Linked DNA regions of Pelodiscus sinensis. The protein of the gene in region 4 purifies or fractionates together with the protein of the main gene of each other region. This does not show direct contact. Links are inferred from orthologs where the notes say so. Each region holds a gene or a part of one and is shown on either strand. Other genes may lie near its edges. The genes, in order: GXYLT1, ITGB1, TMPO and CANX.

Region 1 (7,630 bases), on a different chromosome or scaffold from region 4:
AAACCTATGATGCAGTCATGTAGTATTCAGTAACATTAATTCCTTTACTAGAATAAATAAAGAGTCTGATTAGACTCTACTGTGCAAACAAACACTGCTGTTTGTTCAATTATTAGATATTTCAGAACATTTAAAATAGAAAGTACTTTCTTGGCACGAGTTATTTAAATAGTATTCAAATGGGACATTAAAGTGCAATCAAGTGAACTTTTCCTTAGAACCAAAAAAACCCCTGTCAATAATGAACCAAAGAGATATAGTGAACTTAAAAAAAAAAAAAACATTTTCTGCCTAAATGTTTTATCCAATATTGGAATGTTAGAATTAATACCATTATATATAATATCACCATGACATCATTTCAACCATAAATTCACTTAAAATTGCAGTGGTATTCACCATGCTGTACCAAGAATTCTTCTACGGAAGTACCTAAAGTACATCCTCATTTCCCTTACATCATTAAATTGCTCTAGGAAAGAACTCTATTGTGGCCCCAGAATATAGGTCACAACCTTCTTGGGGAACAAGTGGGATGCAGCATTTAGAGAAATTGCAATTAATGTCAATGATACTGCTTTGAAATCGTCACTATGTCAAAATTATTATTCATTTAATTAATACAGGTAGAACAAGACAATAATTTAACCATACATTTCTCAATTAAATAAAAAGATATGTAGCATTTTTATAATTGTTCTAAACCAGTGGTTCTCAAACTGTGGGTCTCTTGGGCTGGCTTAGAATTGCTGGGGTTCAAAAGCCAAGCCGAAGCCCCAGGCCTCAAAACCAAGGGCTTCAACCTAGATGTCAGGGCTAGGTTACACGCCCCTATCTGAGGCTGAAGCCCTTCAGCTTTGGCTTTCCGTCCACCCCCTCCCAATCTGGGGAAGTGGGACTCAGGCTTCAGTCCCACCTTCTGGGGTTGTGTAGTAATTTTTGTTGTCAGAAAGGGGTCATGGTGCAATGAAGTTTGAGAACCCCTGCTCTAAATGTCTAAATAATAAGCAACTACTTACTACATTGATACAGTAGCAAACATTCATAAGCATTTGTTCAGAATACTCATGAAAGGATCAGTCCTGGGATAATACTCTCATCCTGGTCTGCTCCAACATGATCATATAGGATCTGATAAATACCCGAAAAAGCCTTGCTCCTTTATACAGTTCTAAAAATAACTGATAACTTATTGAGCATTATTAGCTCAGCTAAAAGCAAACAAACCACATTTTGATCTGTTTGAGTACAACCCCTTTCTGGGCCTTGGCTAAAACAGGATATGGTGTCTGGGTCTCTCTCTTTCAAATTATCTATGTATGAATCCTAAAACCAGCTGCACCTGACGTTTTATCTTCTTACAAAGGTCCATATTTTATTATATCATTGGTGTGCAACAAGACATTATACATTTATCACATTAAAAATTACTTTGCTTAATCTGTTAGAACCAGTTTTTAAACAATCTTCTATAATTTGAGACCCTTTTCCCAGACACATTTTGTCTTATTGGTCACATGACAAACTTCCCCTGAAAACTTGTCTGACTAGATGCCACCTTTCTCCTATCTTATCAGAGTGCTATTTTTCAAGACCTTATTATATTTGTTTAAACCACCTACACAAACTACAAATCACATGTAATTTCCTAGCCAAACTAGATTAACCCCACCCCTTTCATCGTACACCCTGTTACAGAGGTTCAAAAGCTTTCTCCATCTGAGGCCCCCTAACATACAATAACTCCCTCCCCCCCAGCCCATGTATGCCACAACTGTTCTTCTATATAAAAGCCAAGGCCAGCATTAGAGGATAGCAATAGTGGAATTGTCTGGGGCCCCATGCCACACAGATCTCCAGGAAGCTAAGTTGCTAAAACTTCGGCTTCCACCCTGGATGGCAGGAATTTCTGCCCTGAACCCCAGCAAGTCTAATGCTGGCCATGCATGGAGGACCGCCGAAAACCTGCTCATGGCCCCCTAGAGGGGGTTTAAAACAACAGCCCTACAAGATTACTATAACTCATGGGTTCCCAAACTTCATTGCACCACAACTCCCTTCTAATGATACAATTATTTTACCACTCCAAGAGGAAGGATCAAAGCTCGACCCCGTCCATGCGGGGGAGGTGGCTGCAACCTGCGTTTGTGTTTCAGCTTCCCCCTGACTCCGCAAGCAACTAACACCAGCTGGGGCGACCCCATTAAAGTAGGGTCATGACGCATTTAGCGGCCCCAGCAGCCCACAGGCTGAGCCGCTGCTATAATGTGATGGAGAGAGGCGCCGCCTCCGGGATGTGACACCAGCTGGTACAGAGAGCGCGTCGCCATTGCTCCCGGGGGTCGGGGCAGAGCCAATGGGTCCGGTCCAGTCCCTCCAGACCTGGCTGCTGAGACCCCGGCTAAGTAGCGCTCCCGCTGCCAGGAGGAGACGCGAGCAGCCGCAGCGCGGCGGGACTGCTCCAGCTCCAGCCTGGCGGGGGCAGGGCCTGAAAAGTGCTTCGCAAACTTTCCTGCGGAAAAGCGACTCGCGCTGGCAGCTCCCCGCCGGCAGCAGAGCGCCGTGGATGCCGGGGCTGGAGCCGCCCAGCTCCGGGAAAGCCCCGGCGCGGGTCCGGTAACACCCCCCGGCGTAGGGAGGACGGGGCAGCCAGGCTGAGGGGACGGGGCCGATCCGTACCTGTCTGGCTGCTCCGGCTCCCCGCGGCCTGCGCTTCCCGCCGCTGCCCTCCCGCCGCCGCTGCCGCGCTGTCTGCGGACCGGAGCGGCGGAGTCTCGGGCCCGCGGCTTCCACGCGCCGGGCTCCTGCTCCAGGGCCAGCTGGCTGGAGCCGTAGAGCAGCGAGCACAAGCCGCAGCCCAGGCACAGCAGCGCCACGCGCACGTAGCGCCGCATCCCGCCCCGCCGGCAGGGCCCAAGCGCAGCCCCGCGCGGGGCTCAGACAGGCCCTCGCCGCGTTGAGGTAGCGGTAGCGTCCCCCGGGTGTGGGGCAGGCTTTCGCCGAGAGGGCGGGGCTGGGAGGAGCCAGGTGCCGGGGTGGGGCAAATGGGTGAGGCCAGGGCGCCCCATGGCGGTGCCTGCCACGGCGAGATGATGAGGCGTCCTGGAGGGGGCGACAGGCGGCTGCGGGGGTAGGGCCACCCCATTTAGCAGTTAAAATTTTGGCAGGGCCATGGGGCGCAGTGCACCTCCTGAGTGCTACCACGAGTCACCTATGCAAGGGGGACATTGGAAGAAAGGGCGCTGTGGTGGGGGCAGTAAGATGGGGGTGCAGGGCCATTCCTACTAGCACTGATCACCTATGCAGCCCAACTCTGGCTCCCACCTCCCCCCGAGCGAGTGGGCGGGAGGCACAAGCTGCAGGGGCAGGAGGCTGCCAACTTTCACAGACAAGCTGCTGTCTGCTGCAGTTGCACCCAGTGGCCCAGTTCCTGAAGAGTTGGCAACCCTAGAGCAGGATAGGAAGGGAGGCTCAGCTGCAGCTTCAGAGCAGCAGGCAAAAGGTACAAGCACGGGCTGGAGACCCACTAAATTTGGGGCAACTAGGCTGCTGCCTATGCCTAAGGACACTCCTGCAGGGGCACTAGCATGGTACTCAAGAGGTGCATCTCCGGACCCAATGCTGTGCACCCAAAAGCTTTGTTAATTTCTGCAGCATTAAAGAGTGACTGACCTCCACTCTAACAGGGTTGGCAGATAGTAGCCTATGCTTGCAACATACCAATTAAAACAAAGTTTCCCCTCTTCTCTCTCTGACTTGTAGATGAGGCTAGCAGAGATGAGCTGTCCTTTTGTGGGAGGGGAGAAAACATAACTTTCCTTAGGTGGTTGCTGTCATTGCTGCTATCTTGGTGAAGGGCTGATCCCCTTCCCTTTAAGCAAAAAGATCACAACTTTTGTCTTGGAAACTAGCTATTAGGAAATTCCAGATGCAACTCTCAATCTGAGCAGCCATTCAAACTACATTTTGTGTGTGTGTGGGGGGGGGGGGGGGGGGGAGTATGGACTTAACTCAGTGCAGTGTAAAATGTGACTGAAAACCAAGTATATTTTTAGTTTTTATATGAATTATCAGGACAAGGTAACCTTACGTGCTTTAATTCTACATGCTATTCTTTAATTCTACTTGCTAACACACGTTAAAACTACGAACTGCCTTGGTTTCTCTAGTCTAGTTTAGTCTATCACTCTAGCTGGGAATGGCCCATAGAATCATAGAATACTAGCACTGGAAGGGACCTTGAGAGGTCATCGAATCCAGTCCCCTGCCCTCATGGTAGGACCAAATACTGTCTAGACCATCCTTGATAGACATTTATCTAACCTACTCTTAAATATCTCCAGAGATGGAGATTCCACCACCTCCCTGGGCAATTTATTCCAGTGTTTAACCACCCTGACAGTTAGGAACTTTTTCCTAATGTCCAACCTAAACCTCCCTTGCTGCAGTTTAAGCCCATTGCTTCTTGTCCTATCCTCAGAGGCCAAGATGAACAAGTTTTCTCCCTCCTCCTTATAGATACCTGAAAAAGGCTATCATGTCCCCTCTCAATCTTCTCTTTTCTAAACTAAACAAACCCAATTCTTTCAGCCTTCCTTCATAGGTCATGTTCTCTATACCTTTAAACATTCTTGTTGCTCTTCTTTGGACCCTCTCCAATTTCTCCACATCCTTCTTGAAATGCGGTGCCCAGAACTGGACACAATACTCCAACTGAGGCCTAACTAGCGCAGAGTAGAGCAGAAGAATGACTTCTCGTGTCTTGCTAACAACACACCTGTTGATTCTGAGATGCATTATGTTTGCTTTTTTTGCAACAGCATCACACTGCTGACTCTCATTCAGCTTGTGGTCCACTAAAACCCCTAGATCCCCTTCTGCCATTCTCCTTCCTAGACAGTCGCTTCCCATTCTGTATGTGTGAAACTGATTGTTCCTTCCTAAGTGGAGCACTTTGCATTTGTCTTTATTAAACTTCATCCTGTTTACCTCAGACCATTTCTCCAATTTGTCCAGATCATTTTGAATTATGACCCTATCCTCCAGATTAGTTGCAACCCCTCCCAGCTTGGTATCATCTGCAAACTTAACAAGCGAACTTTCTGCCAATATCTAAATCGTTGATGAAGATATTGAACAGAGCCAGTCCCAAAACAGACCCCTGTGGAACCCCACTTGTTATACCTTTCCAGCAGGATTTTGAACCATTAATAACTACTCTCTGAGTACGGTTATCCAGCCAGTTATGCACCCACCTTATAGTAGCCCCATTTAAATTGTATTTGCCCAGTTTATTGATAAGAATATCATGCGAGACCGTATCAAATGCCTTACTAAAGTCTAGGTATACCACATCCACTGCTTCTCAGTGGGCTAGGAGAATGAGATCGTTGGTTTAAATTAAGCTTTATAATTGTCTCCATCCTGTGGAATTCCACCTTCCCGTCCCCTGGCCCCCTGCTAATTCCCTGGAATCCAGGCTTCAAAATCTGTGCTCCTTTTCAGTAAGTGATGGCTATCAGCATAGCCTATGTTGCCTTGGGGAAGCTCACATTGTGGCAGGGTTCAGTATGAGACATACTTTCCCCAGCTGCACCTGCAGGAGCTTCACCTTACACTTAATGGAGAAGACGAAGAAGTTGCAATTGGACCCATGCTGCGGACCCTCTCCATACTTCAGCCTGACTCAGCAAAGAGTGCCCTTCCTGGTGCATGGCCTCATTTAGGATCAGGGGAACTATGCCACATGCTCCTGTCACGGTCTAGGTGGGAGGACAGGGAAAGTTTTCATAAATCCTAGTCAAACCCGCCTCTAAATCCTCTTTTAAGGAAGTTGGATACAACCCTAACTAAGTTGAACAAGCCTTTCCACTCAGCCAAGGAGGACTTAAATTGTCCTTAATGTGTCAGGGTCATGACAAGGAAGTCCACAAATCCAGGGCTCCATTAGCACCATACCGTGCTGCAGTGGCAAGAGCATCTCTGGCACCTAAACTTTGAGAACTGATCATACCAGCAAAAGGCAAGCATTGAGCTCCTGAGCTACCAATCGTACTGGCTCTGACTCCCTTGATTATGGCACAAACCGTAACTGCTCAACCACTTCAGTATAGCCGGACAAGACATCTGGAACTTCAGGGAGAGCACTCTTATGTTCCACCTGAGAACCTTTATTTGCTCAGATCACAATCTCGGGGTACATCTTGCATATCTCCTTTTGAAAAAAGAATGTAGTCAAATGTGGTGCTAATTTGCATATCTTCTTCTGATCGCTTTTTCGAATGCATTTTTTTTGGAAGAGAAAGCAGTTTAGACAGGTTTTTTTTTTTTTAAAGAACCCCCCTTTTTCAAAAGAACCTTTCTTCTTAAAAAATGATGTATGGGGGGTTCTTCCGGAAAAAACAACTCAGTCTAAACTGCTTTCTCTTTTGAAAAAACTGCTTCCGAAAAAGCAATTGAAAGAAGATATGGAAATTAGTGCTGATTTTCATATCTCCTTTCGAAAGAAGAACTTAGTCTAGACGTATCCTCAATCACCATCAGGTCCTCCACTTACAAGAGAGGTCCTGACTCCACCACAAGATACAACTTAATGGGAAAGGTCTCTTTCCAGTGCTATCATTTAGCCTTAATTTCCCTCCAGTATAACTATCCGTACTGCCAATGACTCCAGAATTGGCATTTATTTTCTCAGGAAATTCTGAGATTAAGAAAATATCTCTAATCGCCAAATAAAACTTCTCATTTGAATAAACAGTTCACTGTTGTAGACTTAAAACTATTAACCTATACATATTTTCATTTAATAATTAGACCACACCATTGACAGGGGATACATTCAACTTCATTCTTTTCTCGTTTTTGTTTTTTTAAACTTCTGAGAACTTATGTTCTGAAATGTGTTCTGATGCAGATTTATGTTTTTTTGCCATTTTAATGTGTCAGTATCAATTTAATTCAGTTCCTTTGAAATACTGTTGCCACACATCTTTATATTGCTGATCCTATAAGTTCTTTATTATCAATATTAAACATGTACATACACAGTCCCTGCTTATGGTCATTTATATAAGTAAAGTAGAAAAATAAGAGACAAAATGAAATATAAAGAAGGAATAAGATATGATATTTTGCAATTTAATCTTAACAGAGGTGTAAAAAATTTAAAAAAAGTTCTGAGATAGGGATGAGGGAAGGATCCCGTACCACAGGATAGGAAGTCAGCTGAGGAAAGCAAGACTAAAGAATTGGGTTTTCAGGAGGAATTTGAAGGAGGATGCTTGACCACATGAAAGGGACACTGCTTCATGAAGGTTGATATGTTTATTCAGCACATCAGTGACATCCTTCAGTTTCTACCTGCTTATCCCCTGCCTGCAACAAATCCCAGGAAAATTTTTATACTGTAGATTACACCAAAAGTCATAGAACGTAAGTATTCCTTCTTTTGAAAAACTCTTTAAGTAGTATGCACACTTGGCAGCAATGACACACATGTGTGAAAAAAATGTTGCTGCTATGCAGACTTAACTGAATTTCCTTCAGTCATAGTTTAATTTCTTAAAAACAAAATTATATAGAGTGAAGTGATACTAATATATGGGATAAACTGTTAATAAAAATGCTTCAT
Region 2 (7,284 bases), on a different chromosome or scaffold from region 4:
GGGCTGGGTGTTACCAGGCTTTGAACCCCACGCTGCTCCCAGGTGCCACTCCCAGCCACTGCATTCGAGGCATGCTTTCCACTGTTCCCAATTACTGTATCACAATTTCGGCCAATGGGAGCAGTGGGGAAAGCCTCCAGGCAGTGTGTCTGTGTGCCACTGTTCCTCCAGCCAGAGGAACGGGGAGCAGCAGTATGCAGAGCTGCTTGCTCCACTCACAGGCCGGATCCAGCAGCAAACCTCTGGGCTTTCTACCTCCCCCCAACAGGAAGCTGGTGCTGGCATTCCAATCTCATGGGGATACGGGAAGAGCACGACTGGAGCACCAGCATAGACTCCTTGTTGCAGGGGAAGGGGCTGAGTTTTGACTTGTGGCCCATTTGCAAGGTGATTGTGGACCACTAGCGGTCTGTGGACTGCAGTTTGAAAATCACTGAGCTAGGGAGGAGTTGCACCAAGGGGATGAAGATCCACATTTTTTTATCTAAGGCTCTAATGCTGACCTAGCACACTTTAAGAACACTTTCACAGCAAATTTGACAAAATGTAAAGAAGATACCAATGTGAGATTTCTACAGCACTCAACCAAAGATTTAAGCATCTGAAATGCCATCCAAAATCTGAGAGGGATGAGATATAGAGCCTGCTTTCAGAAGTCTTAAAAGAGCAACACTCCGACAGGGAACAACTGAACCACCACCACCAAAAAAAAAAAAAAAAAAAAAAAAATCAACCTTCTGTTGGTGGCACCTGACTCAGATGCTTTGAATTGCTATTTAATAGAACCCATCATGGTCACTGATGCGTGTCCTTTGGAATGACAGCTGATACATGAAAGGACACATGAGTCTTTAGCACATCTAGTACGTAAATATCTTGAGATGCTAGCTACAACAGTGCCATGGAAACATTTGTTCTCACTTTCAGGTGATTTTGTAAACAAGAGCAAACCACATTATCTTCTGCAAATAACCCAAACTTGTTTGTTTGAATGACTGGCTGAACAAGTAGATTCTAAAGTTTTACATTGTTTTATTTTTGAATGCAGTTTTTTGTACACAATTCTACACTTAAGTTTAATTTTCTTGATAAAGAGACTGCACTACAGTATTTGTATTTTAAAAAATGAAAAATGAGTAGTCCTGTAGCATCTTGGAGACTAACAAAAATAATATATTATCATGAGAAGGTCTTGTGGGCACAACCCACTTCTTCAGAAAGCCCACGAAAGCTCATAATATATATTTGTTAGTCACTGAGATGCTACAAGACCACTAGTTTTTTAAGTAACAGTCTCTACCCCCTGAGTACTTATATTAGGTTAATTGAAAAATACTTTTTTTTTTTTACAGTCCAAGAATTTGTAATAAAAAATAAATATAAAGTGAGAACTGTGCACTTTGTATTATGTTCTAATTGAAATCAATATTTTTGAAATATGTAATATTTAAATGAATGGTATTCTGTTAGTTTAACAACTCAATTAATCACAATTAATTTTTTAATCGCTCCACAGCCCTAATTTAATTTCAAACATTTTAAAGGACAAAAGTTAACACTGTTTTATCCTTAATTCATTTGATCTCACTTACTTATTACTAGTTGTTCCCTATTTCCACAAGTTTTATATATATAGCTTTAAGGAGCATTACACAATGCTACTTAATGATTTGCCTGAGGTAAGTAATTTTTGTGACAGGAGCGTGAATCATCAGTAGGGCGGAAATATAAAGTATATCTTTATTACCACGGCCTCATGATTTCAAAAGGCTTATTTAAATCTAGATATTTCTGAATTCACTTGGTCAGTGGCATTACTCAAAGTACTTAAAGAAAACCACAAAATCCAAAATAGCAATCCCTCTCAAGTTTTTTTTTTTTTTTTTTTTTTTTTTTTTTTTTTAACATAATAGAATTTGCAGATCTAGGAGGCTCTCTGTGATTTTTTTTTTTTTTTTTTTACTGTGGCTCGGTCTTTGCTCAAGCCTTCCTTCCCTGTTGCCTTCCTGTCTAAAACTTTTTCGGGACAGGGAAAGACCTTGTCTTTTAACTGTTTTTCTACTGCACCTTAGGAACACATCCAAGTGTGTTAAGAAGTTAGCTAGTACTGTTGGAGTGAACGAGGATTAAGACTGAACTTCCACAGTCTCAAGACACCCACTGCATTTCACAAACGCCACTGAGAAGCAGCGGTGCTTACAGCACCCTTCACAAGGCAGGAGCAGAGGAGATGAGCCCCCACCCTCCCTCCTTTCAGGGAGGCCCGGGACAAAGCGCCCAACCTTATGGAAAGTGCCACGGGGTATGTAGCGGCCACTCCGCACGGGCAAGCCCTGCGGCCGAGCCCCAAGGAGTTGAATGGCTGGGCGGCAGCGGACAAAGGGCCAGGGCATGTCCTTGTCTGGCTTTAGGGCCGGGAGCCCTGGGCCAGGCTGACACGGGCCAGGCCCGGTGAGGGGCAGCCCCGCCCTGCAGCGAACCCGGAGCCAGCCCTGGCGCTTCCCGAAGGTGGGCGGCACTGGCTCCCCGCGCGGCCCAGACCCAGCACCGAGCCGGGTGGCGCCGCACACATTAGCCCCCAGACTGGGCCGGGGCAGCAGCGGCCGGTGCCCTGCACCAGCCCGCTCGGGAGGGGGCCCAGCCCCGCGTACCTGGGGGCCCCAGGCAGCCCCCCCCCCGTCTCTCCCGGGAGCTCGGGCTCCTCGCACAAGGGGGCATGTTGGCCCGCGGCACAAGCGGGCGGAAACCCGCCCCCGCAGCGAGCGCGGCCCCCGGCCCCGTACCTTGGCCATGGCCGCGGGAGAAGGCGGCGGCAGAAGCGCGCTCGGAGCCCGGCTGGCTCAGGTCTGTCCCCACGGATGCCCGGGAGCCCTGGCGCGGTTCCCTGCGTGTCGCGGAGCCCGGCGCCGCTCCCTCCGTCCAGCTCGCTGGGCGCCCTGTGTGCGGGCCGCAGGGGGTGGGAATTGGGTGCGGGCCCAGCCGCGCCGCTCCTCCTCCGCCTCCGGAAGCGCATTCCTCCCTGCTGCCGTCAGGCCCCGCCAGTGGGCGGGGGAGCGCGCAGCTAGGGCCGGGGGAGGGATCGGTGCCCTGTGGGCTCTGGGCGGGAAGGGCCCGGAGCTGGGAACAGGGCACTGGGCCAACTCCCCTACCTCCCGGGACAATCCCGCCCCTGCAGCGCCGCTCGCCCTCGCACCGCTCTGCCCGGGCTGCTGGCAAAGCGTGAGGGACTCCCCCCCGCCAGGTTGCGGCAGTGTGGGCTGCCAACGCGCCAGATTTTCATTGCCAGTTGCGCGATGTTTGGTGTGGCGGCGGCGGCGGCTTATTTGCGGCCTCCTCACCTGGTTCCAAGTGATGGAATGAGACCCGTGGCTAAGAGAGAAAGTGTCTATCCTTCCTAGTTGGAAAGTAGGGAAAGTCTGGTTAAAAAGGGACTCTGGTAGCAGGGGGAGGGACATGTTTGCAGACATGGTGCCTAGACCATCCAGAGGGGCTCTTCTCCCCCACCAAACTGCTTGAATCCCAGCTCACTACAGGTTCCCTGCTGTGCCTCTGACTTTTAAATGTAGTCAGAGCCCCAGTGGGCCCCTTACTACATTTAAAAGACACAAGTGGGAATAGGGAGCATCTTACTCACCCCTAAATTAAATTAATGGAGATTGCCTATCTCCTAGAACTGGAAGGGACCTTGCAAGGTCATTGAGTCCAGTCCCCTGCCTTCATAGCAGGACCAAGCACCATCCCTGACAAATTTTTTGCCCCAAATGGCCTCCACAAGGATTAAACTCACAACCCTGGGTTTAGCAGGCCAATGCTCAAACCACTGAGCTATCCCTCCCCCCTTATTGACTAATACAAGTTGTCGATGGAGACTACTCAATTAGCTGATTAATCAAAATTTAACATCACTAATATGTGTGACATCTTTTCAGTGGCGGCCCATGACTATAGGCCGACTTGGCCATCGCCTAGGGTGCCTCCTTCAATGAGGAGCCTGATGATGACGTCACTCCATTGACAGCCATGCAGGCGGGGGCACTGATCACGCATTCCTCCTGGGCTGCCAGCTGCCGCAGCCCGCCTCAGGCCATGCCTGCATCTTTTGTGTACAGGCAGTCCCCCAGTTACGTGGATCCAACTTATGTCGGATCCTCAGTTACGAACGGAGATTTTCTCGCCCCGGAGGACTGGAACGGCGGGACACCTGGTCCCGCTGCCCGCCTCCTCCGGGGCGAGAAAAGCTGCTCCCTGTCTCCCTGGTCTGCTGGGGGAGCCAGCAGACCAGGGAGACGGGGAGCAAAGCGGCGGAGGACCCGGGGCTGGACCCGCGGCGCTTCCAGCTGATCTGGAAGTGCCACGGTCCGGCCCGGGTCCTCCGCCGCTTTGCTCCGCATCTCCCTGGTCTGCTGGGGGGGGACGCAGCTAGTGCCCCCCCCAGCAGACCAGGGAGACGTGGAGTGAAGCCCGGGGCCTGTGGTAGAGCAGGTGGGGCACTGCCGGTTGGTCCCGCAGCACCGCTCCTTAGCTTAACTGGACCAACCCGGCAGCACCCCAGCTGCTCTGCCCCAGGAGTCCTGATTCAGCCGCTGCTGATCAGTTTCAGCAGCGGCTGAATCAGGACGCTTGGGGCAGAGCAGCTGGGGTGCTGCTGGGTTGGTCCAGTAGCGCCGAGGAGCGGCCGTGCTCCCGAGCAGCACCCGAGCTGCTCTGCCCAGGCGTCCCCAAGTCAGCCGCTGCTGAAACTGACCAGTGGCTGACTACAGGAAGCCGGAGGCAGAGTTGCTCTGCCCTGGGCTTCCTGGAATCAGCTGCTGATCAGTTTCAGCAGCAGCTGACTTGGGGACGCCTGGGGTTCTTAAGTTGAATCTGTATGTAAGTCGGAACTGGTGTCCAGATTCAGCCGCTGTTGAAACTGATCAGTTTCAGCAGCGGCTGAATCTGGATGCCAGTTCCGACTTACATACAGATTCAACTTAAGAACAAACCTACAGACCCTATTTTGTACGTAACCCGGGCACTGCCTGTATTGGGTTTCTTAGGCACATTTGGTTTAGTTAACCATTAGAGATAGATGAATTCATCTAACCACTGGTTCTTATCTATGGGGTTCTGAAAATTTCATTCATGGACTACATTTTAATACAGAAACTGTTCCATGCTCCCACTAATGGCTGTGCAGACCATTTCCTTCTGTGTTTCACTGCATAACACTCATGTGGCAACTACAGTAATTGCTTACATGAAGAGTAATTTTAGAAAAGTGTTTCATGTTTTTAAAGCTATTCTTAAATGCAGTTTAAGGGTTGGCAGTAAAAAGGAAGAGCCAGCTCTGTGGACCACCAGCAAGTGCTCTATTGACTGTCAGTGCTCCATGAAACACAGTTTGAGAACCTCTGATCTCTTTGGGTATGTCTACACAAACAAGAAAAACTCACAACAGTTCCATGCCAGCTGACCTGGCTCAGGGAGTTTGGGTTATAAGGCTGTTTCATTGGTGTTTAGACTTCTGAGCTTGGGTTGGAGCCTCAGCTCTAGGACCTTTTCACACGGTGTGGTTTTTTTTCTTTGCTGTGTAGACATACCCTTTTTGTCTCAATTTCACCAGTAAAATGGAATAATTATACTTGTTTGCCTACTGAGGAATAGTTATTTAGTCTTTGCAAATTGCTTTGATGTTGTAAAGTACTATATAAGTATTAATAATTATTATTTATATTAAAGTAGCAGCTAGTGGTTCTAATAGAAATCAGAACCTCCTTGTGCTAGATACTGTACAAAAGAAAGACACCGTTTCTGCTCTGAAGGGTTTAGAGTCTAAATCAACAAGCCAAAAAGTGAAAGAGGAAGGAGAGAATCCAAGTAACTTTCTTGATATCACTTTGCAGGTCAGTAACAGAGCCAGGTCTCTTGAAAGTCAGTCCAGTGCTCTATCCACTGGATCACACTGTCTCTGTAGTATCAGCACTTTTATTTTCCAGTTCTTTCACTGAGAGCAGAGTTATCCAGGGTATCTTGTCTATTGTTACTATGTGCCTCGATTCTGTACTTTTGTAGCGGGAACATAGTAAGGATGTTAAGTATCGAGTAATTCACGAATTGAATAGTTGATGCATTTTTGCATGAACTATTTGATTAGTTGACAGGGCAGCGCTGCCCCTTTGAAACTCTGCTGCATCATTTCAAAGGGGCAGCACTACACAGCTGATCCTGGGCTCCGTGCGGTGCTCGCCTTTGAAACACCGTGGTTTTTCAAAGAGGCAGTGCCACCACTTTGAAATGCTGCAATATTTCAAAGGGGCAGCACCCCATGGACCCTCGGATCAGCTATGCAGTGCTGCCGCTTATTGGACATTTGCTTATCGGATAGTGGACTAGTCAACTAGTCCTTAACATTCCTAGAACACAGAAGAGTTTTCAGAAGGAAAACACTGGATATCTCCAACAGGAAGGGAGTAATGTGTCCTAGAGGATAAGAATGAAGAAGATGCTAGGCAGAAATTATTATTAGAAAGCATGGTCACTTTGTCCAGGAAGTGATGATGCTAGAGAGTTGCAGTAATACTTTTGATCAGAGCCTCTTTTTGTTTCTTCTCTTCTCTAATGATAACACTTCTTGGGGGCTTCGTCTATACTGCAGCCTTCTTCCACAACAGCTTATGCAAATGAAGTGTGGAGTAGAATATCACCATGCTTCATTTGCATAAGCAATTAGCAGTCTTTTTTGTGCAAGAGACTTTTGCACAAAAAGGAGCTGTGTAGACGGCACCTTTTTGCGCAAAAACACCCTCTTGTGCAAGAGCCGTTCTTCCTCATTTTTTGCACTAAAGCCTCTTGCGCACAAACTGCTGCTAATTAATTATGCAAATGAAGTGCAGTGATATTCTACTCTGTGCTTCATTTGCATAAGCTTTTGTGGAAGCAGGCTGCAGTATAGATGTAGCCTGAGAGTAGGTAAGTGAATTTAGCCAGGCAGCTAGTCAACATCATAAAATGTGGCCATTATGGAGTTGTCGGTTTACATCAGAGTTAGGCTTCCAGCCTAGGACAAGGATCTGAGTGGAGTGAGTCAATAAATACTTGGTGCCTAGTTGGAGAACTAGAGTTGACAACATATTTACAAGGCTTTGTTCGCTATAATCCTGGTTTCCCATGGTGTGTAGCACCTTCCTATGATAAGGTGGCCATTCTCAACTCCTGTTGGTTTTACAATGTTCATCATCTAGCAGGAATGGGTCCTATAAGACAAATCCTAATTTCTGATGAGTACTTGAAATTCCACATGTTATT
Region 3 (6,993 bases), on a different chromosome or scaffold from region 4:
CCCTTATCCCAGTCTCTTTCCTCAGTCTCTCCCACCCAATACCCTGGCTCTTTGCGGAACTCTAACCTCCATCCCAATGGTTTCCCAGTCCCAATCTTTTCTCAAATCTTCCAGGTTGTCTCAGGCAACCTATTCCCACTCCCAGCTCTTGAGTAGGCCTGTGTCTGGTCCTCGTTTTATTAGAATCACACAAATTTTCCTACCAAACCACCTGAGCCTAGAAATTAGGGGAGGCTCACTGAGAACACAGAAGACCACCTCCTCTTAGCCTGAGGCAGCCAGCCAGCATGAAAAAGTGCAGCAGAGTTATAAGCAAATGACAAAAGGGTAGTATAATGGGTAATGCTGAACCTTAACAGGTAGGTGGTGCTTCTATACCTGTCAGAAATAAAAAAGTCCTTACCATGAACACCAAGATTAATTTGAAACAAGCAGCAACAGTATGAGGGAAAAGGGTTGTGGAGGAAGGCATGTATATGAGATCACTGAAAAATTAGCTATATTCACAATTTGATATTTTAATTCCTTTGCACATTAAAAAAAGTAACTGTAGCTCAAACCAGCCACTATTACTTAACAGTTCTCTTTTTTTCTACATTTAAGTTTGTTGCCTTTCACCTTTAGGTACACCTGACTCATCGTACACAAATCTAAACCCTTGAGAGCAACTCCTGAATCAGTAGCATTTGTACAGATCCAGGAACTCACTATGTTAACTAAAACTGAAAACTTGTAGGGAAGTTTGAACATGGGAGTACAGCAGAGAAGGCTTCTATGTAGTCTGCCCCTCACAGATACACAGAGCTCAAGTTATTGAACAGATATTGGGACTATATTCTGCAAATTTTAGTAAAGCTGAATGGACCCAAGATGCTAATTTTTAAGCAATATTATTAAATTACAACAATTTATTTTGGATTTCAAATTACAATGATTTATATCTAAACAAGTAGTATTTCAGTCATCACCATGATGAACCCGCAACAGCAGGATACTATTTCAGTGTTCCTTATAAGCTGTGCAGGCATTCAGGAGATTCAAATGCACTTCATCTGATTAGCAGAGCACCCACAGCTATTGCTTAAATAGCTCTTCACTCCATCACAAGGAAAGATTAGCATGCTTTACCAGTTACTAAGCACTTAAGTATCAATGCCACAAGATATGGCTTAGTCACTTTATATAAAATATGCAAGTGCTAGTATCACTGTTCTAAAACATACAATAGACTTATCCAGTCTCAAGAGAGACACATGGATGCTCACTGGACTAAACAAACCTTGTTTGGGGCTAACTTGAACAAGTAGAATAGTTTCACATCTAGCTTACTGAAAAAACCATAACCTTAGTGATGGCATACACTGGAGCTTAATTATCTTCTTGATATTTCCCTTGTCTTCTGCCAACTGTCTGATTATTTGTTAACTCACATTAAATCATGTCAGATACTGCATTTATGCTTCTTGGAAGCAGGAACACATGTAACTGTAGGCAAGTGGGCAACTCTATAGGGGAGAGTAAGTAAGTTTAGATCACAAAGACAATCCTGTGGATAGAAGCCTGGGATCTCTTCCTTTAATGAAGTTTAAGTTTCTGGACTTTCAGACATGGGAAAGCTGGTCTAAAACTTGGTCTTTCTTTATAAAATATTTTACACACAAACAGCAACACCTCTCTCCAATCCGAGTTACAACGTAAGAACCTAACATGCTACAAACACAATCGTTGCAGTTACCATATTATTTTATTTTGCATACTATAAATAAGCATCCACTAAAGAACTTCCCGCCCAGCAACTTCATTACTAAAGTGTACAGAAGCAGGAACAAGACCTGTCTTCCAGCAAAGCCGAACATTACACCCGCAGATATCCTAGCGCTAGCGGTCGGCATTCAGCGAGCTCCTGAGCCTCACACGACAAAGTACGCCCTAGCTTGAAGTAAAGAAAGGAAATCCCTCCGGCAAACTGCCCCTCTCCTTGAGCACAGGCAGGGAACAGCCCCGGCTGCCGCCGCAGCGCACCCCGCACGCTGGAGACCCTCGGGGAAGAGGTCTGTACCGAGAAGCTCATACCGGCCACTGAGAGCCGCTCTTGGCTCGCGGGGGCCGCAGGCGCCGAAAACTCTGGGCTGCGAGGAAGGCACCGCGCTCTCCCCTAACCCTAGTTCAAGCTCCGCAGACAGGCCGCGGCCGCCAGGGCGCGCCCCGCACCTCGGAGAGCGGGAAGCGGCGCACGCCGCCAGCAGCCCGCTCCCCAGGGGCGGGTCTACATGCGCGGGAAGGGTAAAGGGGCGGGAGCGCGGGCGGCAGGCAGGGGCCGCCAGAGCCCTTTGTGTGGCAGCGCTAAGCTCTCCGAGCGGCAGGGGGGGGCGGACTCTTACCCGGCCGGGGGTGCCGCCTCCTCCTCTGCCCCTGGGACCGAGCGGGGTGGGCTCCCTCTCCTCGTCGCTGGAGAAGTCGGGCGCGGCGGGCGCGTTGCGGGCGGTGAGGTGCTGCAGGTAGAGCTGCACGTACACGTCCTTGCGCTGCTCGCCGCCCGGCAGGCTCACATTGTTGGCGATCAGCTCGCTCTTCAGCTTCTCCTTGGTCAGCACCGACGGGTCCGCCAGGAACTCGGGCATCGCCGGCCTCTGCCGCTCTCCCGGGACAGACACCAACAAAGGGGGGAGGGGATGGGAAATCGCCTCCCCTGCCCAGCGCGATGAACCCCACTCGCGGCGCGCTCGGCGAGGGCTTCGCCCGACCTCCAGTAAAGCGCGTCCGGATTGGCCGGGCGACTCACGAAGTGGTGCTGCTATTGGCTGCGGGGGCGAGTGGGGGAGCGGCGCGAGGGTTTCACCAACATTAGTGCTTTGCGCGAGGAGTAGTAACGCAGTTTAAATTCAGCTCAGGCGGGAGAGGGGCTGGCGTGCTGCTGCCTCCCGCCCCCCGCCGGCGAGCACGGCACAAGCTCCCCCTCCCGCCTCTGACGTCTCCTCATTGGCGCCACATGAGCCCTCCCCGCCCAGAGGAGGTCGAGGCCTTTGCTGCTGGAGAAGGGCCGGGGCGACACCGCTGCCTGGGGAGGAAGTGCCCGACTCCCCTCCAGCCGCGCTCTGGCAGGGGCACCGCGGGGTTTGCTGCCCGCTGTTTCAGGGAGACGTGTCAGAGCTTCCTGGAGCCCGGCGCGAAGGCTCCATTGGTGGCGTGGGGACGGTTCCAGCGGCGGCCAGCCCCAGAGGCGTGATCGGAGCACCGCGTGTCCCATGGTTGTCACAACAGGCACGTTCAGTGGGAGGCTTGGGGATGTGCCTCCTCCTCGCACGCGGACCTGGCCTTCCCCAGCCTTGACCTGGGCACTGACCGGGCGGAGGAAATGGACTCCAGCCAAGAAGTTGCTTTTGCTATTAAAAGCTGCGAGTGCTACATAAAAATGAAATAAATCGCTTTACTGTATTGCAGTTTTTAAAGGGACGTTGCATTGCCCTTGAGTGCCGATGCCACAGCTTCTTCAGGAGTGAAGGAACGTGCCTATGAGGAACAGATTGCAGAACTAAACTAAGTGTTTGGGCAACACAGTGGCAAACGAAATTTAATGTTGATAAATGTAAAATAATGTGCATTAGAAAAATAGTCCGAGCTATACATACAAAATGATGGGGACTAATTTAGTTATAACTACTCCAGAGGGAGACCTTGGAGTCATTGTGGCTAGTTCTCTGAACATATCCACTCAATGTGCAGAAGCAGTCAAAAAAGCAAACAAAATCTTAGGAATCAATAAAAAGTGATAGAGAATAAAACAGAATAGCTTATTGCCTCTGTATAAAACTATGGCAAGCCCATATCTTGAATACTGTGTACAGAAGCGGTCGCCTCATTTAAAAAAAAATTGATAGTGGAAAAGGTTCAGAAATGGTTTGGAATGAGTCCCATATGAAGAAAGATTTAAAAGACTGGGGCTTTTCATTTTAGAAAAGAGGAGATTAAAGGGGGGATATGATAGAGGTCTATAATATAAATGATATGGAAGAAGTGAATAAGGAAACATTATTTACTTCTTCCCAAAACAGGAACTAGGGGTCACCAAATGAGATTAATCAGTAGCAGGTTTAAAACAAACAAAAGGAAGTTTTTCTTCATGCAACACACTGACAACCTGTGGAACTCCTTGCCAGAGGATATTGTGAAGACCAGGACGATAGAAGGGTTCAAAAAAGAACTGATAAATTCGTGGAAGTTAGGTCCATCAGTGGCTATTAGCCTAGATGGGTAGAAATGGTGTTTGTCAGAGGCTGGAAATGGATGTCAAGTGGAGGGGTCATTTGATGATTCCCTGTTCTGTTCACTCCTGGGGTATCTGGCATTGGTCACTGTTGGAAGACAGGATTCTGGGATATGTGGACCTTTGGTCTGACCCAGTATAGTCATTCTTATGTTCTTATGACTGAAACCATTGATTGTGCAAGGTCCTTGGGGCAATGAACTTGCTTTCTCACATTTGTAAAAGGTCCTATATATGGCTCTGGCACTAATAATGAAGTCAAATAGCCTGGAAATAAATAACCAATTTGTATTAATAGAATATTTTATGCATTTCTTAAAAAAACAAAGACAACTATTTTTATTTGAATCTAAATATTAGGGCTATCAAAGGATTTAAAATCACCATAGCAAGATATTAAACAGTTGTGATTAATCACAGTTTTAATCATACTGTTAAACATTAATGGAATACCAGTTTAAATTTATTATAAATATTTGGATGCTTTTCTACATTTTCTAATATTTTGATTTCATTAACAACACAAAATACAGAGTGTACATTGTTCACTTTATATTATTTTTATTGCAAATTTTTGCACGTTAAAAAGATAAATAATACCTTTCAATTTTCCTCTAAGTACTGTAGTGCAATCTTTTCGTCATCAAAGTACACCTATAAAGGTAGAATTTTTACTTTTAAAATAATTGGTTTCAATCAAAACCAAAACAATGTAAAACTTAGAGCTTACAAGTCCCTTCAGTTCTACTTCTTGTTCAGCCAATTGCTAAGTCAAACATCTGTTTAAGTTTAGAGGAGATAATGCTAATGCTTCTCATTTAAATGCTCTCAAGTTTTATGTTGTTTTATTTTTGAGCGCAGTTTAAAAAATTACAGTTATAAATTGCACTTTCACGATAAAGAGATTGGACTACAGTACTTTATAAAGTGAATTGAAAAATGTTCTTTCTTTTATCTTTTTTACGGTACAGATATTTTACTATATATTTAGAAATGAATCCGGAACCAAACTCTGCAACAAACCCTGTTGCCAGCTCTGTCTGCATATCTACTCAAGTGACACCATGACAGACCCTAATCATATCAGATTAATCTTGTCATCATCTACAACCCCCAACTTAAACCTGTCCAACACATTATCAATAAACTACAGCCTATACTGGAACAGGATACCATACTCCAAGAGGCTCTGGGAGACAGACCCATAGTCTCCTATAGACAACCACCTAACCTCAAGATGATTCTTACCAAGAATCAAGAACACATATTCCTGCGCATCCAGAAATATAATTTATGCTATCATGTGCCGAAAGTGTCAGTCTGCTATGTACATTGGACAAACATCTCAGACACTTCGCCAAAGGATTAATGCCCACAAAACAGATATCAGACAAGATCACAAAGAAATAACAGTTTCTTGCCATTTCAACCAGAAAGGACACTCTCTCAATGACTTAACCACCTGCATTCTGCTACAAAGACCTTTTACATCTGCACTTGAAAGGGAATCCTCTGAACTGTCATTCATGTTAAAATTCAACACTCTCCGGGAAGAAATGAACAAATGCTCAAACTATCTTACCCATTACCAAGATAGCTTCCCCAATTATCACCTCTAATACCATTAGTTCACAGACATCCCACTCTCCCCACCTCTAATATCATCAATTCACAGACACTTACCTTCCTTCCCCCCCTGTATCCCCCTCCTGTTCTGAAATGTGATTTGTCCTTTTCATATGTGTTCATTTTTTAATTGTATCCTTTGGTATATATGGTTGTGACTATTTTCTTCCACTATTTGATCTGAGGAAGTGGGTCCGGCCCACGAAAGCTCATCATCTAATAAACCATTTTGTTAGTCTTTAAAGTGCTACATTGTCCTGCATTTTGCTTCACCTAATCATATCAGCCACAGTATCAGGGGCTCCAGGGCTGGGGCCAGGGGAAAGTGGCCTCAGGGCTGTAGACAGCAGTGAGCACCGAAGTGCTACACTGTATCTACTCCATGAGGATGAGCATAACTACATTATTGCCCACTGGCTTTCACACGGGGAGTTACAGTGCAACACTTTGATGTGCATTGATGTTCATATCTCTATAGTCAGCTGCAGGTTTAGTGTAGGCATAGACATCATAGCATTGGTTTACACTCAGTTTACAATTTAAAGATTACCCCAACCATAGGCTCTCGAGGCTAAGTTATACCAGCATAGCTATATTAATGTAGCTACATTGGCATTACCTGCAGCATAGATGCAGCCTACACCAAAAGAATTCCCTCCCCCATATGTACAGAAACACCCAGTGAGGGTACCTATGTCAACAAAAACACAGACTTTTTACACCCCTGAGTAATCTTGTTATTTTTATCAGCTTTTTTAGTGTAGACTGTATGGTTAAACCACTGTAGTTATACTGGGGAGTCATCTCTGGTTTACACTTAACATTTAGATTGGCCTTTATACATCATTCAGTCAACTTAGTCTCCCATGTAGACACATCAAGACTAATAGAAAAATCCCTTTCTTGACATAGGTATTGTCAATTGGAGAGATGGAATACCTGTCTCAAAGGAAAAACTTATAGGCTGTTGTGGTGCCCTTTATTCTGGGATGAGTGGCTTTTTTGGTTAGCTTAAACTGCTTCCAAGGCAATATAGGCTAAGCTAGAAAAAAGCACTCATCTACCACAGTAAGAATGTTCACATGGGGAATTATACAAGTAAC
Region 4 (7,844 bases):
CTCAAGATACAAGAATTCACTTAGTGGGAAAAGCATACTTAGCAGTCTTGCTGTCACTTTTGCAAACCAACTCAAATTTGTCTTGGGATCAAAAGCAACAGCCTTTCTTCCAGGTGGAGTTTTCCATTATGGTGCCAAGTTAAATGGATGAAGACAAGCACTGAAGAGACAGGAATATGAATGCCATAAATGCAGAATGGGCAGGAGAGGGAAGAAGGGGACAAAGTTAAGTTTATTTGGGAAAAAACTGAGTAAGTTACACTGAATTCTTAGGATCAGAAGCTGTTGGAAGGGAAATGTTTAAAAACTAACTGTAGGGATGGTGTCACATTAAAGACCCCCCTGATTAAATTAATCTGGCCAGCATCAAGTCTCTATGCCACAGGCTAAAAGCCCTGAGCCTTGGTGTGTTGCGCCGCGCCCCCCCCCCAGGCCAGGCTGTAATTGTCAGCACCACCACTTGCTCATGAAGCTTCAGGGGTGACACCTGCAGGCAAGGACAGCATGTGTGTTGTCTTCTTCCCCCGGCCCCCCGCCCCGCATGAGGGACCACAGGGAAATGCCAGCTATGGCCGCTTTGCAGCAGAGGTACAGGATCGGGGCAGGTGGGGAGCCTGCTTTAGCACCACAGTACTGTGAATGGGAGCTGCCTGAGGTAAGCTCCTACATCCCATCCCTTTGCCCCAGCTCTAAGCACCCTCTTGCACCCAAACGCTCTCTAAAAACCCACATCCTCACTCCTTGCCTGGAGCCCCCTCCTGCACACCAAACCCCTCAATCCCAGCCCAGAGCCTGCACCCCCACTCAGAGCCCTCACCCCCTCCTACATCCCAATTTTGAACTCCATTCTACACTTCAAAGTTCTCGTTTTGGCCCAACCCTCAACACCCTCCCTGACAGAGCTGAATATGGCCCACTATTGATGTTTTTCTGGAGGTCAATGGCCCCTGATAAGAAAAAAGGTTCCCAACGCCTGCCCTACTCCATTACTGTAGCATTTCAATTGTAAATGGTGTAGAGAAATTTCAGTGTATTTTAAACAACATTTCTATTGAGTCTAAGAAGTTTATACACAATAATTTTAGAATTAAGTGAAAGTACTTTGGGCTGAAGCCAGGTGATTTTATGGCTGGATTTTAATAGTATCTTTGAAAAGACCATTATGAGAGTTTTGCAAGTTAGAACTAACTGCAGACTGAACATAAATGCAAATATTTTATTGTTCTCGGTGGTTGTTATTCAAAGATGTATTATCCTATGCGTTGTCACCTCCCCAATTTCACTAGCGCACACTGATGTTACTATCATTCTGCCTATAAACCAGCCTTCAAGTTCTCTGGGGCACCACACCTAGAGCCAGACAACAATATTGCCAAATCAGGATAGGTAACTGATACACACACCTCTAGTCAAGAACACTCCTAAGCCTGATTTTCAAGTGCACACAAACTGCAAACCATTCTAGTGTGACTAGAATATTTTTATATTCTATATTTTTGCAAATATAAAACCATTTGCAAAAATTGTTGCAGCAACTAAAGAGCACTGCTAACAGAGATAAGTCAATTACCTTCCACATTTTAATGAATATTTACTACTACTACTACTACTATTGGATATTTGCCATGAAAAATTAATTCAGGCTCTATGCAGACATGATACTCGAAGGCAGTTGTCAACTCAGATAAAAGTTCCAAGAAGATGGCTGCTTACTCTGTAATTCAATCGCTGCATTTCTTGTTCAGTCCAGAGTACTCTCCCTTTACTTTCCCATTCAGAGCTATCTAAAAAGATTAGAGGTAGCAAGACAGAAAGCATCTACTTTAACTCAAGGTCTGTGTGATGCCAGACCACCACAATGAACAGCAGCAAGGGTTCCATTACATACTGCCTTGAAAAAGACACACAGCTTTAAAAAAAAAAAATAGAAGCTATGTTCAGGAGATATACATTTTAAATTGTATAAAGTGCTGCACTTTATAGGTCACCTTTGTTTTACATGCCTTTTACTAGGCATATTGTTTAATTTCCGTTTCCTCCTCCACACCTTATTTCTGTTTCCTCCTCCACTCTTATTTCTGTGGTCCGAACTCTTTCATTCCAGTAACTTCCACCCGTTTCCCTCCAGTCATACTGCTCCAGTCCTGATTGCATCTTTCACCCTCTGCAGAAACGCCCGGTCAGAAGAGCCATTTCTGAACACCCCGATTTTTGGCAAGGGCAGATCCAGTCCTAGTGACTTCACCTCCCCCGTACGCATATTAAAACCCCACCAGCTCGGCCTCCACCTCGCCTCCGCCCAAGCCCACAGTCTCTGCGCCGCATCGCACTGGGATGAGCACATGCCCCCGCAGCCCTCGGCCACGCGGGCCAGTGTCAGTCGCTCGCCCCACCCACGACAAGAAGCTACCAGAACGGGCTGCCTCGCCCGCCACTGGTCGAGCCCAGAGGGGGGAATGGAAGAGCCGCGGCACCCAGCCCTGCGCGCACCTTGGACGCGGCTGGCCACGCGCCGGCCTCCGTTCGCCCGTCCCGGGCTCCGCCGGCGGGTTCCCAGCCGGGACTGGCAACGGACACGCGGGGGCCGCACCGACCCCCCCCCCCCCCGGCTTCGCAAACCCGTTACAGGCCCAGCCCCGCCGCGTCCCACAGGGCTTCGCTCCCCCTCACGCCGAGCCCTGCCACGCCCCGCGCCTGCGAACTCCGCGCCCGCCACCCCAACCCCCGGCCCTTCGCGCCCTCGCCCCCCGCCAATGCCCCAGCATGCCCCGCGGGCAGAGCCTTCCCCGGCAGCCCGGGGGGGGGGGGAAGAGAAGCAGGCCCGGCCTTGCGATTCTACCGGGCGGGGGTTACCCCCACTCACCTCGCCACGCGCCCCCCGCAGCCGCCGTCCGCAGCCTCAACACCCCCGTCACGTGTCCTAGCCGGAGCGGCCGCCCGCGCGCGCGCCTGCCCTCCCGCCCGCCTATCTACCGCGCGCTAGCTCCGCCCCACTCCTACCTCCCCATTGATTGAGCCAGCAATCGACCTCCCGCGCCGGAGCGTATGTCGCATTCCCATTGGTCAATGGCGCCGCTTCTCCCGTCTTAAGCGACGCCCCTACGGCGCTGCCCTTCGTGGAGCGCGGTGATTGGCTGGCCGCTTGCGCAGGAAGTGTGCGCTGATTGGCTAACACGGGGAGGTGGGTGGAGCGTGAGAGAAGAAGAATCAGATTCCTGCAGGAGGAAGCGTTGGGTTTCTTAAAGGAGCGGTGCCTAGGTCCTGTCCTTGCTCCTGGGAGCAGTGTAGCCGCTAGGCCAGGATAGGGGCCAGTGCTGGGAAGGGGGAGCTGGCAGCAATGTTCCCTCTGTTCTGTCCATGTGCAGAATAATTGTATGTGCACTGAGGCACATGCAAATGTGCACCACCAGTAAAATCAAAACCCAGCTGTGAGTGCTCTGCTAAGAAGCCATAAGAGGCCAATGCTGGGAGGGGTGGTGGGAACTAGCAGAGGCTTTCTCTGCTGTGGCACTATCCATGAGTGCAGGGGGAGGGCGGCACTGACCCCTGAAGGGCTGACCAGCAACAGCTGCTGGAGCCCATACGCACACACTCCCCAGCAGGGCTGATGCGGGGAAAGCATAGTAAGGCAGTTCTTGCTGGTGCTGCTCTTGGGGAGTGGTGGGACTGCCCCTACACTCACTGGAAGTGGTGTGGCAGAAGGAAGAGATGGGGTGGGAGAGGAACAAGGGTGGGGAAGGGGTAGAGAGAGGCAGGGCTTGGGGCAGAGGAGGGTTGTTCCAGGCCTTCCTCAGGTTGTGGGGGGAGCATATGGCTGCTTTCCCCCCTGGAAACTACCTCACCAGTTGCTTCTGGGGGCTAGTGCTGGGGCAAGGGTTGAGAGGGCTGGAAGAGGTCAACATAGGAGGTGGGGCGGGACAGCTGGCAGAGATCTGCATAGGGGCTAGTGCTTAAGGCACAACCAAGGAACTGTTATCCCTCAGTCTGTTCCAGAGGTGGGCAATAATTTTTGATGGGGGGGGCCACTCCAAGATTTTGGTAAGTGGTCAAGAGCTGCACTTTTCTATGGAGGGCATGCCATGGTATGGCACAGAGATGGGAATAAATGGGAGCTCAGGGTAGGGGACTGGAGTGCAGCGAGGGTGCAGGGTGTGAGAGGGAGTTTGAGTGAAGTGTTACCTGGGGCAGGGGATTGAATGCAGAAGAGGACTCTGACCTGGGAGAGGGGTGCAGAAGGTTTGGGTACACTGGGGCAGGAGATTGGGGTACAAAGTAGGGGGTGCAGGGTCAGGAAGGGGGTATAGGTGTGTGATGGGCCGGACACAGCCCGCACTCTGGAGAGTGCGGCGGGGGCTGAGCTGCTGGCTGCAAGCCGCGTGGAAGCCGTGGCAGCCGATCATGGCCGGGGAGAGGGGCAGCCGAGCGCCGCCACGGCATCCCGCGTGGCACCCGTGGCAGGGCCCAACCTGGGGCAGAGGTTAGGAGGTAGCGGCAGACGGAGGGGAAAGTGGGGGGGTGGCTCGAGCCAGGGCCACCCCTGGCGGGACCCCGATCACCACCCCAGCCCTGAGGCCAGCCCCGGTAGCAACACAGGCCCTCCCAGAGGAGGGAGGAACCCCTGCCCGGGGCTGGACGCCTGTGGGGATTACGGCAGGGGGCAGAACCATGCTCCCAAGCGCAACATGGCGGCACCCTTGAAAAGGACGAGAGCAGAAGATGGAGGGGTGGCTCCAGCTTTGGGGACAGCCTGCAGAATCGGGGGAAACGGTTCATTCCTCCTCGGTGGCAAAAGCTGGAAAGTGGCCGGGCAAACCAGAACTCCGCGCAGAGATCATCGTGACCCGCCGGAAGGATAACTCTTGGGGTCCCCAAAGAGGGACCCAATAGTCGAGGGGGTGTTAGGAAGCAGCCCAGGGCACAGCGCTTCTGGTGCCTGTGGGCTGGAGAGCTTCGGGTGGAATCCCCATCAGCTGGGTAGGGACGGCCAAGCCCACCCTAAGGGCCCCGGGCTGGGACCCAGTGGAGAGGGAGGGCCCGGGTCCCCCTACACCTCCTCGATCCACTCATCCATCCACAAGCCTAATCTGATGGAGAAAGTTCTTACAGGGAGGGCCAGAGTCCCCACAGGGTTGGCGGGCCCACAGGGCCCTGCCCTCAGACTTGGGGCAGAGGCTCGCACCCATATAGCCGACCCGGGGAGGTTAAGACAGACAGAGGGAGGGCTCGCTGGGCCCTGCCCTCAGCGGCGGCAGCTTACGCTCCAAAACCCCGTCACACGGTGCAAGAGAGGATTCTAGACTGGAGAGAAGCATAGGAGGGCACGTGAGTCTGGGAGGGAGTTGTGACCTGGGGTAGGGGTACCAGAGGGGTGCCAAGGATTTGGGTGGTTACCTGGGGCAGAGAGTTGGGGTATGGGAGGGGGTGGGATGCCAAATGAAGGTTCTGGCTGGTAGGCAGTGCTTTGTCAGCTGCCCAGTGGGACTCAGGCAACCCCAGACTGCTCAAAGTGGCTGGCTGCTTGGGGCCATGTTCCTCTGCACTGTGCTGCGGGGCGGGGACGGGACAGGGACTTCACATGCTGCCCTTACCCCCAGCACAATCTCAGCCAATGGGAGTTGTGATGATTGGGCTGGGGGTGGGGGCAGCGCACAAAGTTTCCCCCACTTCTGCAAGGGGTACACAGTGCCTAGACGCACAAGGCCTCAGCAGCTGGCTGCTTTGAGTGGCCTGAGGCTGTGGCAAACAGGCTGTATTTTGCCTGCTGCTAGTCTTTTTCTTCAGCCTAAGTCTGCCAATCTGTAACTGCAAGACAGTTACAGCAATTTGATAACACACCTCTCAACACACTTGCACATCCTTCCCTTTCATCCTGAGCACTGTACGTTACCCAAAACCCACTCCTCAAAACATAGAGCTGTGACCAACTGAGAGCAAGCCTAAAAAGAGGACATGCAGGATCTAGGCAGGCCTTCCATTCTCTAGTCATCTGAAGAAGTGGGCTGTGCCCACGAAAACTCATGATATCATCTATGTGTTTTATTAGTCTTTAAAGTGCTACCAGACTATTTGTTGTGTTTTAAGTTTTTCCTGTTACAGCCTAACTTGGCTAACCCTCTGAAAGTTTTAAGCCAGACAGTCCAGGGCTACATCTACATTGGCATGATCTTGCGCAAATACTCTTTAATGGAAGAGTTCTTGCGTTAAAGTATTTGCACAAGAGAGCATCTACACTGGCATGTGCCTTTGTGCAAGAGATTTGCTTTTGCGCAAGAGCATCCGTGCCAGTGTAGATGCTCTCTTGTGCAAGAAAGCTCTGATGGCCATTTTAACCATCGGGCTTTCTTGCGCAAGAAATTCATGTTGCCTGTCTACACTGGCCTCTTGCACAAGAACAGTTGTGGAAAAGGGCTTATTCCTGAGCGGGAGCATCATAGTTCTTGCGCAAGAAGCACTGATTTCACATATTAGAACATCAGTGTTCTTGCACAAGAACTCCCCGTCAGTGTAGACAGGCAGCATGTTTTTGTGCAAAAGCGGCTGCTTTGGCGCAAGATAGCGCCAATGTAGACACAGCCCTGGTGTCACTACTGACGGGGCATGCAGTAGGAGCTAGTTGTCCTTGAGAGGCCATTCTGGCAGGTGGCAGGCCCACACCATGCAAGAAGTACTCTGGAGATCTGTCAATGGCCATCCTAGCACTACATCTGAGGCCTTGGGGTGTGATTTTTTTTAAATGACATTTTTATACCTGCATACCTGGTCTCCACATATATTACTGTGCTGCTCACCACTTAGGACTTCACTGCAACAGTCAGGACAGAATTCCCACTCTTTTGTTCCACAAATACAAACTAAAAGAAGACTCTCCAATAGCAGAACACCGTTTTGTGATTCATTGTTGGGCTCTTCCAATTCTATCCAGTAGATGGCAGTTATGCACATACACAGCCCAGTTTATTATGCGTGCCACTGAGACAATACTGATGTAAAATTCTGATAACGTTTTCTATATCATGCAGAAAAATCTAAGCTATGCTGCATTCATTTCTCTGAAACAAGATATAGCACCGTAGATGTAAAATGTTATGTAAATGATAAGTATGTTGCAAACATGAGCTTCATAATTTTCCTACCAATGTTGTGAAGTGGGGAAAGTACTGTTCCCCATTGTTTAGAATAGGAAACTGAGACACTGAGAGGAGGAGCAGTATTTGTAAGATCACACAAGAAATTACTGGCACAGCAAGGATGAAAACGAAGGAGTCTCTTGCTCCTATTCCCTCTGCATAGCTTACAAAAAGGTCAGTGTAGGCTAGCAGTAAATAGGGATCAAAAATTAGGGAAAGTTGAGACAGACTGCTAGCACCATTAACCATAACTTCTAGATAGATACCACTTGAGTGGCCTGTTCTAACAAAGGATGGGTGCTGTGCTAGTAGTGTCTGAATGTATTGCCCAGGTCAGGGTATAACAGGATTTTTTTTTGTTAATGTAAAACTGTTTTGGGTATACTGAAAAGCAGCACACACCAGAGTTTTGGCTGAGTTGGTGTTTAAGCAAGCACAGGTTACTGAGATCCACCCAAAGAATGCCAAGACGGGTGATGAAAGCGAGAGAGATGACAGACACCACAGGGAAAACACAGCTCCATGACAGGAGGTCATTGTTGGTGTTTTAAAATACATACATCAGAAAGTTTACCTGTAGTCACTGGTTAACTGCAGTCTAAAGGAAACCATTCCTGGTTTTTTAAAATAAATTTTAAGGAGGGCAACACCACAAATGTGGTGTGAGGGGAGATGACCACAACTAAGGGTGAGTCAGAGAGCCCAGAATCTTCTTGT

Evidence for each region.
Region 1: the proteins of CANX (region 4) and GXYLT1 purify together in Homo sapiens (affinity purification with mass spectrometry; 3 studies listed by BioGRID and IntAct, counting the BioPlex papers as one, with this or other methods). This does not show direct contact. The link is inferred for Pelodiscus sinensis from reciprocal best matches to the Homo sapiens genes CANX and GXYLT1.
Region 2: the proteins of CANX (region 4) and ITGB1 purify together in Homo sapiens (affinity purification with mass spectrometry; 3 studies listed by BioGRID and IntAct, with this or other methods). This does not show direct contact. The link is inferred for Pelodiscus sinensis from reciprocal best matches to the Homo sapiens genes CANX and ITGB1.
Region 3: the proteins of CANX (region 4) and TMPO purify together in Homo sapiens (affinity purification with mass spectrometry; 3 studies listed by BioGRID and IntAct, with this or other methods). This does not show direct contact. The link is inferred for Pelodiscus sinensis from reciprocal best matches to the Homo sapiens genes CANX and TMPO.

Annotation. Positions count from the first base shown.
Region 1 is NC_134711.1:53,283,501-53,291,130, forward strand, and holds the start of GXYLT1 (glucoside xylosyltransferase 1), read right to left. Parts: upstream 3,008-7,630; 5' UTR 2,895-3,007; coding exon 2,680-2,894; intron 1-2,679. UniProt on the Homo sapiens protein: Glycosyltransferase which elongates the O-linked glucose attached to EGF-like repeats in the extracellular domain of Notch proteins by catalyzing the addition of xylose.
Region 2 is NC_134712.1:230,380,003-230,387,286, forward strand, and holds the start of ITGB1 (integrin beta-1), read right to left. Parts: upstream 3,020-7,284; 5' UTR 2,793-3,019; coding exon 2,784-2,792; intron 1-2,783.
Region 3 is NC_134711.1:83,219,007-83,225,999, reverse strand, and holds the start of TMPO (thymopoietin), read right to left. Parts: upstream 3,015-6,993; 5' UTR 2,622-3,014; coding exon 2,382-2,621; intron 1-2,381. UniProt on the Homo sapiens protein: May help direct the assembly of the nuclear lamina and thereby help maintain the structural organization of the nuclear envelope. Possible receptor for attachment of lamin filaments to the inner nuclear membrane.
Region 4 is NC_134727.1:34,174,734-34,182,577, reverse strand, and holds the start of CANX (calnexin), read right to left. Parts: upstream 3,005-7,844; 5' UTR 2,864-3,004; intron 2,650-2,863; exon of another isoform or gene 2,491-2,649; intron 2,073-2,490; exon of another isoform or gene 2,048-2,072; intron 1-2,047. UniProt on the Homo sapiens protein: Calcium-binding protein that interacts with newly synthesized monoglucosylated glycoproteins in the endoplasmic reticulum. It may act in assisting protein assembly and/or in the retention within the ER of unassembled protein subunits.